Linked DNA regions of Sus scrofa. The protein of the gene in region 1 interacts with the protein of each later gene in a biochemical or structural test. Links are inferred from orthologs where the notes say so. Each region holds a gene or a part of one and is shown on either strand. Other genes may lie near its edges.

Region 1 (4,408 bases):
TGTATCGATAACAGTTTATCAATCTGTTTAGTACATCAAAGATTTGTACTGGGAGTTTTCAGAAACGTTTTAATCAAATAGTTTTACCAAATTTTATCTGGCATAAATGTCTTAAGTTTGATATGGGTAATTTTTTAATTGAAATTGAATAATAAACAAACATGATGGTAAAGCTGATGCAACATATGCTAATTTCTCTAAAGTGGAGAAGTCGGATGCTTACTCTATAAATCGCAGCAGTGGGTATTACTTATCATTTCCATATTCCAAAACACCGTCTTAAGACAGCTGTTTAGTATTTAACTTACTGAACAAAGGGGGTTATCCCAGGTAGCTTTCAATATTCTGAGGCATTTTTTTTTTTTTGAAGGTCCCAAGATTTACTTCCAATGATATACAAGATAATGAATTTTCCTGGGGACATCCCAAAATGGGCACATTCATTTTGGATAAAAGGAAAACGAGGTCTTCGGAGTTTGAGAGAAAGAAAAGATGAGGAGGGGAAAAGGAATATTTTCCAATTCACTAAACGAAGGAAAATGTGTGGAATACCCTTCAGAGAAAAAGAGTCTGAATTTAAACGTTACTAATAAGTGTATCCTACGAAACACACCAGCCAGAGTAGAAATCTCTTCTAAGTGCGTCTGCTTTTTCGGGAACATCCAATCAGCAAGGTCTCTCTTTCATAACATTGGGAGAGGCCTGTTCCTTCACTCCCACTGTTGAAGTCTGCACAAACTTGGAGAAACCCTGGGCACCTGCGGCTCTGAAGAAACCGGCGAGGAGCACAAACGAGGGCGTCTTTTCTCCTATTTTCCGTCTCCAGATTCCAACCTTTTTGACAAGCAGTGCGAACGCCCAGCCGCCGCGCCCCAGAAATAAGAGCTATTCTCAGGAGGTGGACCTGGGTCTGCGCTGACGCTTCTCAAAGGTGTGCGTCCGCAGAAGAGGAGCTCAGAGCTGGGCCGCGGAGACCAGCCGTTTTCTCTCTCCTAGAGCTGCCGCGGAGAACAGGAGAGGAACAAGACCAGGAGAGGAGCGAGACCAGACGCCAGAGCCCGCGCGCGACTCGTCGCCCCGCGTCGGAAAACTCAGCCCGCCCGCCAGCGGAAGGGGGCGTGGCCTCGGGCAGGCGCGGCGAAGCCAGCCGCGGCGTGGGGGCGGGAGGGGGGGCCGGCCCGCAGCCGCGCGTTTCCGGCGCGCTCCCCCGCGTCTTGCGTCCTGTGGTCTCGCCCGTCTCCGCTGCCATGTTGGATTGTGCGGCCGCCGCCGCCGCCGAAGGAGGGTTGGAGGAGGAGTTGGGAGTTTAACGCAGTCGCCGGAGTGCAAGGACAACGACCATCCGGCCAGACCCTGGCCGGGCGGGAGCAGAGAGCTTCCCTTTCTCAGCGCGGTCCGCCGACGGCTCCTCCTTCCCTTGGCCTCCTCCCCGTGCCAGAGGAGCTGCGAGATGCTGCGCCTCTGACTCCCCTCCTCCCGCCCCTGTCACCGAGAAGGGGATCTAGCATTCGCCCACTCGCCGGAGGAGACGGCCCTGGCCTCCCAACCCTGCCGGCGAAACCATGAGCTCCGGCCCGCAGCAGCCGCCGCCGCCGCGGAGGGTCACCAACGTGGGGTCCCTGCTGCTCACCCCGCAGGAGAACGAGTCCCTCTTCACCTTCCTCGGCAAGAAATGTGTGGTGAGTGGCCGAGATCCGTGTCGCCGCGTCCTACTTTGCCTCCTGGGCCGGGGCTGGAGGGCCGGGAAGTGGGAGTGGGGAAGGAGGCGGGAGCGGCGCGGGGAGGATCGGGCTGCAGGCCTGGCCTCTCGCGGCCCTGTCTCCGTGTCGGCCCCCTCTGGCCGGGTTTCCTGGGTGCGGGCCGGCGCGGCCGGACGCCACCTCCCGGACCTGTCCTGGGAACAGGGAAGTGTCACCTCTGCAGGCCTGCCTTGGAGCCCAGCTTGGCCGGGCCCGGGTCCGTGTCCTGGCTGCTGGCTCAAACTTTACAAACAGTCCTCTCAAGGGGATTTTCTTGCAGGACCTGCTTGATCTTAGTAGTTGGGCCCCTGTACTGGCCCCAGTTTATCCTCCTGCGGCCTGATTTGGGGGCACCTTCTTTCACAATGCCAAAGGTTTCAGGAGTATGTAGATCGGGGACTGAAGCCTAAATATGAATGAAACGACCCATAAGGTGGTTTTTAATCTCCCTTGAGGTTCTCAGGAAGAAGTGAAGTCGAGTGCATCGGTTCAGAACGAGGGCAGGAAGCACTACTACTGCTCCCCATTGGAGAGGAACAAGGTTTATTTCTCCAGCAGTCTAGCCCAGGCCTGGTTTCTCTCTCCTCTTGTTTCGTTTTTTGCATTGGTAGGAGATGCTGCTCTCCCGCAACCAAGCTCAGGGGAATCTCGGTCTCCTGCCGTTCTTGGCCTTTTGGAGTCTGAGAATGGTTCTTAGGCTGGTGCTGTGCGGCCTGTTCCAACCCCAGATGGCGGGTTGGGAGCGAGCCGTTCTGCTGTGGGAAGGGGAATGTGTGTTGTTGACGGAAGCATTCATTACATTGGCTGCTGGCACTTCTGGGGGTGGGGAGGTTCTGCTCTATGGTGGAGGCCTTGTCAGGCTGCATCTTACTGCAGTGGCTGGGTTGAACCGTGATTGAGTTTGTTGAAACGCTGTTTGGGTCCCTTACTCCCCTCTCTCCTGGTGAGCACCTGCAGAGTATGTGCCACTGGAACCCAGGAACTACCAAGGGAAATGTCAACAGAGATGTACTTTTTACAACTGTTCTTAGTAGTGTTAAATGGATCCAGAGGACACCTGCTTGTTTAAGAAGTTAAGATTAGACAATTTTTGAGAAGTTACCAAATTAATTGTTAACTTTATAGTTTACCCTTTGTATCCTGTGCCATCCAGTAGGAGATTGAATCATTGCATTCAATTCAGATGTTTCATATTTCAGAAGTTAGGTCTGAGTAGAAGAATAAAATGAGTAGGGTGGCTTAAAATTAGAATTTGGAAAACAACCGTAAAGACATTCAAGCCCCCTACTTCCCCCACACACTTTTTAATCAAGTGAGAAAACTGAGCCAGTGAGCCCTAAGTCACACAGCAATTTGGTAATGTAACCAGAACTAGAAAACCAGGACACCTGATGGCCAGTCTATTGTACTTTCCACTACATCATGTTGTTTTAGAAGAGTTTTTTCCTTATTTGTTATAGATTTATTTCCAAAAGTGATTTTAAAGGAATAGTCACTTTTTTTTTCACACCAGAAACTGATAAAATTAAAGTATAAGATCCTTAAAGGAGCACTAGTTTTTGCATATTTTCAACTTAGGAAAATCTCCAATACTTTGAAAGTAACATTCATTGTCTGCAAATGAAAAAAATTTAAAATTTTGCTGGTTTACTGCTTTTGCTATGTAATCTGTGTCAGAAAGGAAGTAGTTGTACTATGTGTTAGTTACCAGACACATTCAGTTTAGACAGGAAGGACATTACATTTATAAACAGGTATACTGACTCTGTGCTTACCTGTTATGTTTACTGGTTTCAAAAAATGACAAATGTTGAAGAATACAGGGATAGAAAAATATGCTATTGCTTAGTGGTTAATGTAGGTGGATTGGCAAATAAGCTGTCAGTACTCAGTGCATTTTGGTTTTTGTTTTTTTGTTTTTGGTTTTGTTTTTTTTCTTTTTAGTGAAGTTCCCAGGCTGGGGGGGGGGGGGTCAAGGAGCTGCAGCTGCCAGCCTACGCCACAGCCTACAGCCACAGCAATGCGGGATCTGAGCTGTCTGTGACCTATACCACAGCTCACCGCAATGCCAGATCCTTAACCCACTGAGCAAGGCCAGGGATTGAACCCGAATCCTCATGGATATTAAGTTCATTACCACTGAGCCACAATGAGAACCCCCAGTGCTCAATTTATGTCATCTATTACTAATCAACTTTGCCATTGGGATTTCTGTCATTTAGAACCACACTATTATAGTTACCTGCTCTTGTGGTATGAAATGGTTGCAAAGATTAACTTTAATATTTGAAATCTCCAATTATTAGAAAATAAAGAGTGATATTTTTATTTTCTGGAACAACCTTATTTTCCTTCCTTTGCTGACTGTGCAGTTTTTTGTACAGTACTGAAATATATCTCATTAAAAAAATTAAGCAATGAGATTTACAGGTCAGACCAGATTTATTAAGTAAGATGTGTATTCAGAGCTCAATTTAAGAATTCAAGAAATGAAATAGGCGTACTTATAGTCACTGCTCTCAAGGAGTTTCATTCCTTCTTTCATTCAGCAGACACTTAATGAGTAACTAAATGTTGAGGCCAAAACCAGGGTTGATGCCTGCCCTCAGGGAGCTTAGGATGTCCAAAAAGAGAAACAAATGTGTCAACTGATGAGTAAGTCAATACTT
Region 2 (4,371 bases), on another chromosome or scaffold:
TCTCTGGCCGCTCCCTCTCGGGAGATTTCCACCCTGGGGTAGGGGGTGCGGCAGGCCAGAGGTCAGGAGACGGCGGGCGGGGAGCGCCGCCACGTGCCCGCGTGCGGCCCCGCCCGGGCCGGCCAGTGACTCAGCCACGGCGGCTGTCGAGGAACCAGGCTCGGGGGGCGGCGGGTGCCTTTAGGGTTCGCAGCGGCCTCGGGAGCACCGCACCCCTCTGGGGGGGACGGGGAAGGTACGAAGCCCCTTCACGCCCGGGAGGCGCCCCTCCCCCGAGGGACCGGAAGCGGCCAAGCCCCTCAGCGGACCCGGCGGCCAGCCGGGGCTGGTTCACCTAAGCCGGGTCCTAACCCCACCCGCTTCCCAGCGGGCGGCGAACGAACTCTTCGCACACAATTTCTTAGCATAAGTTTTACTGAAAAAAGAAGAGGAAAAAGGCCCAGGGGGCCAGGGTAGAAGGGACTTTCCTCTTCTTGAAAAAGTTGCATGTTGAAACCCTAGTATTCTTCCGCCTTGAAAAATAGGCCCGCCCGCCGCGCCCCGCGGGCGCCGAGGCTCAGTGACCTCTGCAGAGACAGGGTAAGGGGGACGGACGGCGACCCAAACTGCTGACCGGGGCACAGTCATGGAGTGAGGCCTAAGGCTGGAGCTGATCCAGCGCGAGGGATAATCCCCGTGGAGTCGGGTGGGCTCCAGCGAGTGCAACTTATGCCGCCGTGCAGATGCTGAGGACAGAAGTGTCCCCGGTGGGCGCCTTCAACTTGGAAAATGGTCGGGGTATTTTGTCAAATTTCCCTTTACTGCCTTTATTTCTTGAATAAATAAAATCAAGAGTGCAGAAGCGGTAACGTGCGCGCCTCACCCCCGCCCCTTCCGCCCAGCAGCAGACACGTCCCCGGCCCGCCTTCCTTCGCTGGGGGTCCAATTCGGCCCGGCCCGGCGCGCCCCGGCGCGCGCCCGCGAAGCCGGCGGCCGGCCCTAACCGCCCCACGCGCTCTCGCTCTCTGCCCCGGCGCAGGCGCGGGCGCACGCGCTGCCGCCGCCTGCCGTTCCTCCCCCCGCAACCCCACAGCAGAGGTGGGGGAAGGGGGAGTCGTTCCGTTTAACCCTGAGTTCCCCGAACCCTCTTAATCTGCTAAATTTGCAGCTCGCTAGTTCTTTCTCCGTTCACTTTCCTTCCTCCCTCTGGCTCACTCTCTTTCCCTACACCAAAGTCTAATATTCTATGCAAATTGGCGCGAGCCCCAACTCTAACCCCCCCGCCTCCCATCCTTTCAGCGTCGGTTCCCATCGAACTCGGCAAATTTTGCAATAGGGGGAGGGATTTTTTAAATTGCATTTGCAAAGTTCGGTATCTGGGCAGGCGAGAAGGAGGAGGGAGGGGATGAGGAGTAGGCCCCGCCCCCACCGCCCTTTGCAAATAAAAATCTAGGGGGGTGGGGAGGAGCAGGAAGTGGCGGTGCGAGGGCTGCTGCACAGCTAGCAGAGCCGCGGTCCGGACGGCAGCGCGTGCCCCAAGCTCTCTGCCTTCCCCCGCCCGCCAGTCCGAGGCAGCCCGAGCCCAACCCGCGGCCCCAGCAGTAGCCCCGAGAGCAGCCCCAGTAGCAGCGCCATGGCCGGGTGGAACGCCTACATCGACAACCTCATGGCGGACGGGACCTGTCAGGACGCGGCCATCGTGGGCTATAAGGACTCGCCCTCCGTCTGGGCCGCCGTCCCCGGGAAAACCTTCGTCAACATCACGGTACTGCGAGGCCTGCGGGGTCTGGGGAACTGGCCGGGCTTGGACCCTGAGGGAGGGACTTGGGTGGGGGCGGGCACGCTCTGGAGAGCGCAGCGAAAAGCCGTGGTCGCTCCTGGCCCTGGAAGTGGCGCGAATGGTGGCTGCACGTGAGCCGGTCCGTCCCGGGGCCCCCCGAGTCGTACGTCCCGGGCGGCGGCGCCCGGCCAGCCCGCCGGCCCCGCTCTCCGAGACGGGGCGTTACATCCGGGGCACAGGGCGGGGAGGGGCGCGCCGCCCGGTGCGGCGGCCCACTTCCGTCTCCTCCAGGGCGGGGCGGGCACACGCTGCAGTTTCAACCCGGGATTGTGATTGAGAAGGGACTCGGGGACCCCTGGACCCTGAGCTCCACTTCCGCCCGCCTGCTCGCGCCCCCTCCACCATTGTTCCTCCTTATGCGGTGGGAGCCCGGCTCGCGTGGCCAAGGTCCCATGCCCGTCCTCTGCGCTCCCTGCCCCTCCCAGCTCCGTTAGAGAGGGCTAGGCCGCCTCACGCCCTCCGCCCCCCCGCAGTCGGCACGTTAGACTCAACATTCCTGTGAGACCGATCCCGGAAGTCCCCTCGCCCTCCCTTCCCGCCATCCGGCGGGGCCTGGAGCAGGGGAACTTTGTGAGAAGTTCTAGGACTGAATTATCAGTGAAGGAGTAAGGGATGACTTCTGCTGTCCCCTCACCACCTCCCCAGTCCACACTGCCCGGAAGTGGGGAGGGGGAGCGGAAGTTCGAAAGGGGGGGAAGGGGATTTCCGGGCGGGAGGGGACCGGATGTGGGGATTTGGGGTGTAAGGGGGAGGGGAGAGAGTTTCCCTGGGGTATCAAGACCCGAGAGCTGGCTTGCTGGGTCTAGCCCCAGGCCCCCTCCAAAAGTTTTTCAACTTTCCCGGAATGCCCCCAGACATCTTGCTTCCTCCTCTTAGAGCACAGATACCTGGACCTGAACTCAAGGTTACTTAGAGACCCAGGCGTCCGGGCCCCTAACAACTCCTGTAGAACCTTTGACCAAATAAGGGCAAAGTTGCTTCTCCTGCTTCGCCCGCCCCCTCCCTTCCCCTCTTCGCTTCTGCTTTTCCTGAAGGAGACTTCTGAGCATCCAAAGGCTCTCCAGTCCATTCCACTCCACTCTCCTCACTCCTTTTTGGCCCCCTTTATTTCCTGGGTTTGCTTTCCCAAGAAATGACATCTAAGTCTCCAGGGGAATATGTCGTCCCTTTCTGTTACCATTCTCCTAAGTTTGAGGATCATGATCTTTTTGTGCACGAACTTCCGACAGTCCTGAGTTGCTCAAATTTCACTGGTGTGTACAAAGCACATAACATACACCCCTCCCAGGGGGGTTAGCTTCCTGAAGAAATGGAAGGCAGGTGGGTCCTTGGAGAAGGTGGGAACCTTGGGGTACTGACTAACTTGATGGTGCTTGGTTCCCCTTCCAGCCAGCTGAGGTTGGTGTCCTGGTTGGCAAAGACCGGTCAAGTTTTTTCGTGAATGGGCTAACGCTTGGGGGCCAGAAATGCTCTGTGATCCGGGACTCACTGCTGCAGGACGGGGAATTTACCATGGATCTTCGTACCAAGAGCACTGGCGGAGCCCCCACCTTCAATATCACTGTCACCATGACTGCCAAGAGTGAGTTTCTGAGTTTTTTGCCCTTTCCCTAATGGACCTCCTTCTGCTAATCTTTCGGGTTTTCTTTGTGGATTCCCCAGTATGAAGGGATCAGGCCTGGGACGCTGGATTGTCCCTCTAGTTCTGTCTCAGTTCCTCATCTTAGAAAGAAGTTGAACTGTATTACCTCTTAAGTTCCTTCTTGCCTTGAGTCTTTTTAGCTGGGAAACTCTCTGGTTTTCTTGGAGGAGGTAGGCTGTTAGTTCTAAGTCGGCACTTGAGCTCTTGTCTTTGGGGCTCTTTGTTAAAACTTGGAGGTGGCAGGCTCATCCACAGCCATTTCTAGCCTGAACACATGAGTCAACTGTCTGCGAGCCTTTGACCCCTAAATTTTACTGTGTTCCTTTCCAGCCTTTAAGCTTGATTTTCCCCTTTTGAAAAGCCCTATTGTTTCAGGGTGACTGACAGCCTGCCTGTGTGTGGGGGGTTGGGAAAGATGAGGTTGGGTTACAGCCCCCAGGGCTGGACAGCTGCTGAACAGCTGGCGGGAGTGGGATTGTGACACCTGGGTCCTAGCCTCCTTTCTCTTTCCTCCAGCGCTAGTCCTGCTGATGGGCAAAGAAGGTGTCCACGGTGGTATGATCAACAAGAAATGTTATGAAATGGCTTCCCACCTGCGGCGTTCCCAGTACTGACCTCGTCTGTCCCTCCCCTTCACTCCCCACTGCTTTTGCACCCCTCTCCTTCCCACACACACACATCCACCATTTTTATTTTTTGGGCCATTACCCCACACCCCTTATTGCTGCCAAAACCACGTGGATTGGGGGCCAGGGCTGGATGGACAGACACCTCCCCCAACCCATACCCTTTCCTGTGTGTGGTTGGAAAACTTTTTTTGTTTTTTGGGTTTTTTTTTTTTTTTTTTTTTTTTTTTCTGAATAAAAAAAGATTCTAACAAGGTGCTGTGTGGTTTTAGCCTGGGTATCAG

Evidence for each region.
Region 2: the proteins of WASL (region 1) and PFN1 form a complex in vitro, tested with the Homo sapiens proteins (2 studies listed by BioGRID). The link is inferred for Sus scrofa from reciprocal best matches to the Homo sapiens genes WASL and PFN1.

What each region holds. Positions count from the first base shown.
Region 1 is NC_010460.4:23,721,006-23,725,413, forward strand, and holds the start of WASL (neural Wiskott-Aldrich syndrome protein), read left to right. Parts: upstream 1-1,387; 5' UTR 1,388-1,562; coding exon 1,563-1,679; intron 1,680-4,408. UniProt on the Homo sapiens protein: Regulates actin polymerization by stimulating the actin-nucleating activity of the Arp2/3 complex. Involved in various processes, such as mitosis and cytokinesis, via its role in the regulation of actin polymerization.
Region 2 is NC_010454.4:51,961,230-51,965,600, forward strand, and holds PFN1 (profilin-1), read left to right. Parts: upstream 1-1,412; 5' UTR 1,413-1,612; coding exon 1,613-1,744; intron 1,745-3,208; coding exon 3,209-3,401; intron 3,402-3,977; coding exon 3,978-4,075; 3' UTR 4,076-4,341; downstream 4,342-4,371. UniProt on the Homo sapiens protein: Binds to actin and affects the structure of the cytoskeleton. At high concentrations, profilin prevents the polymerization of actin, whereas it enhances it at low concentrations. By binding to PIP2, it inhibits the formation of IP3 and DG.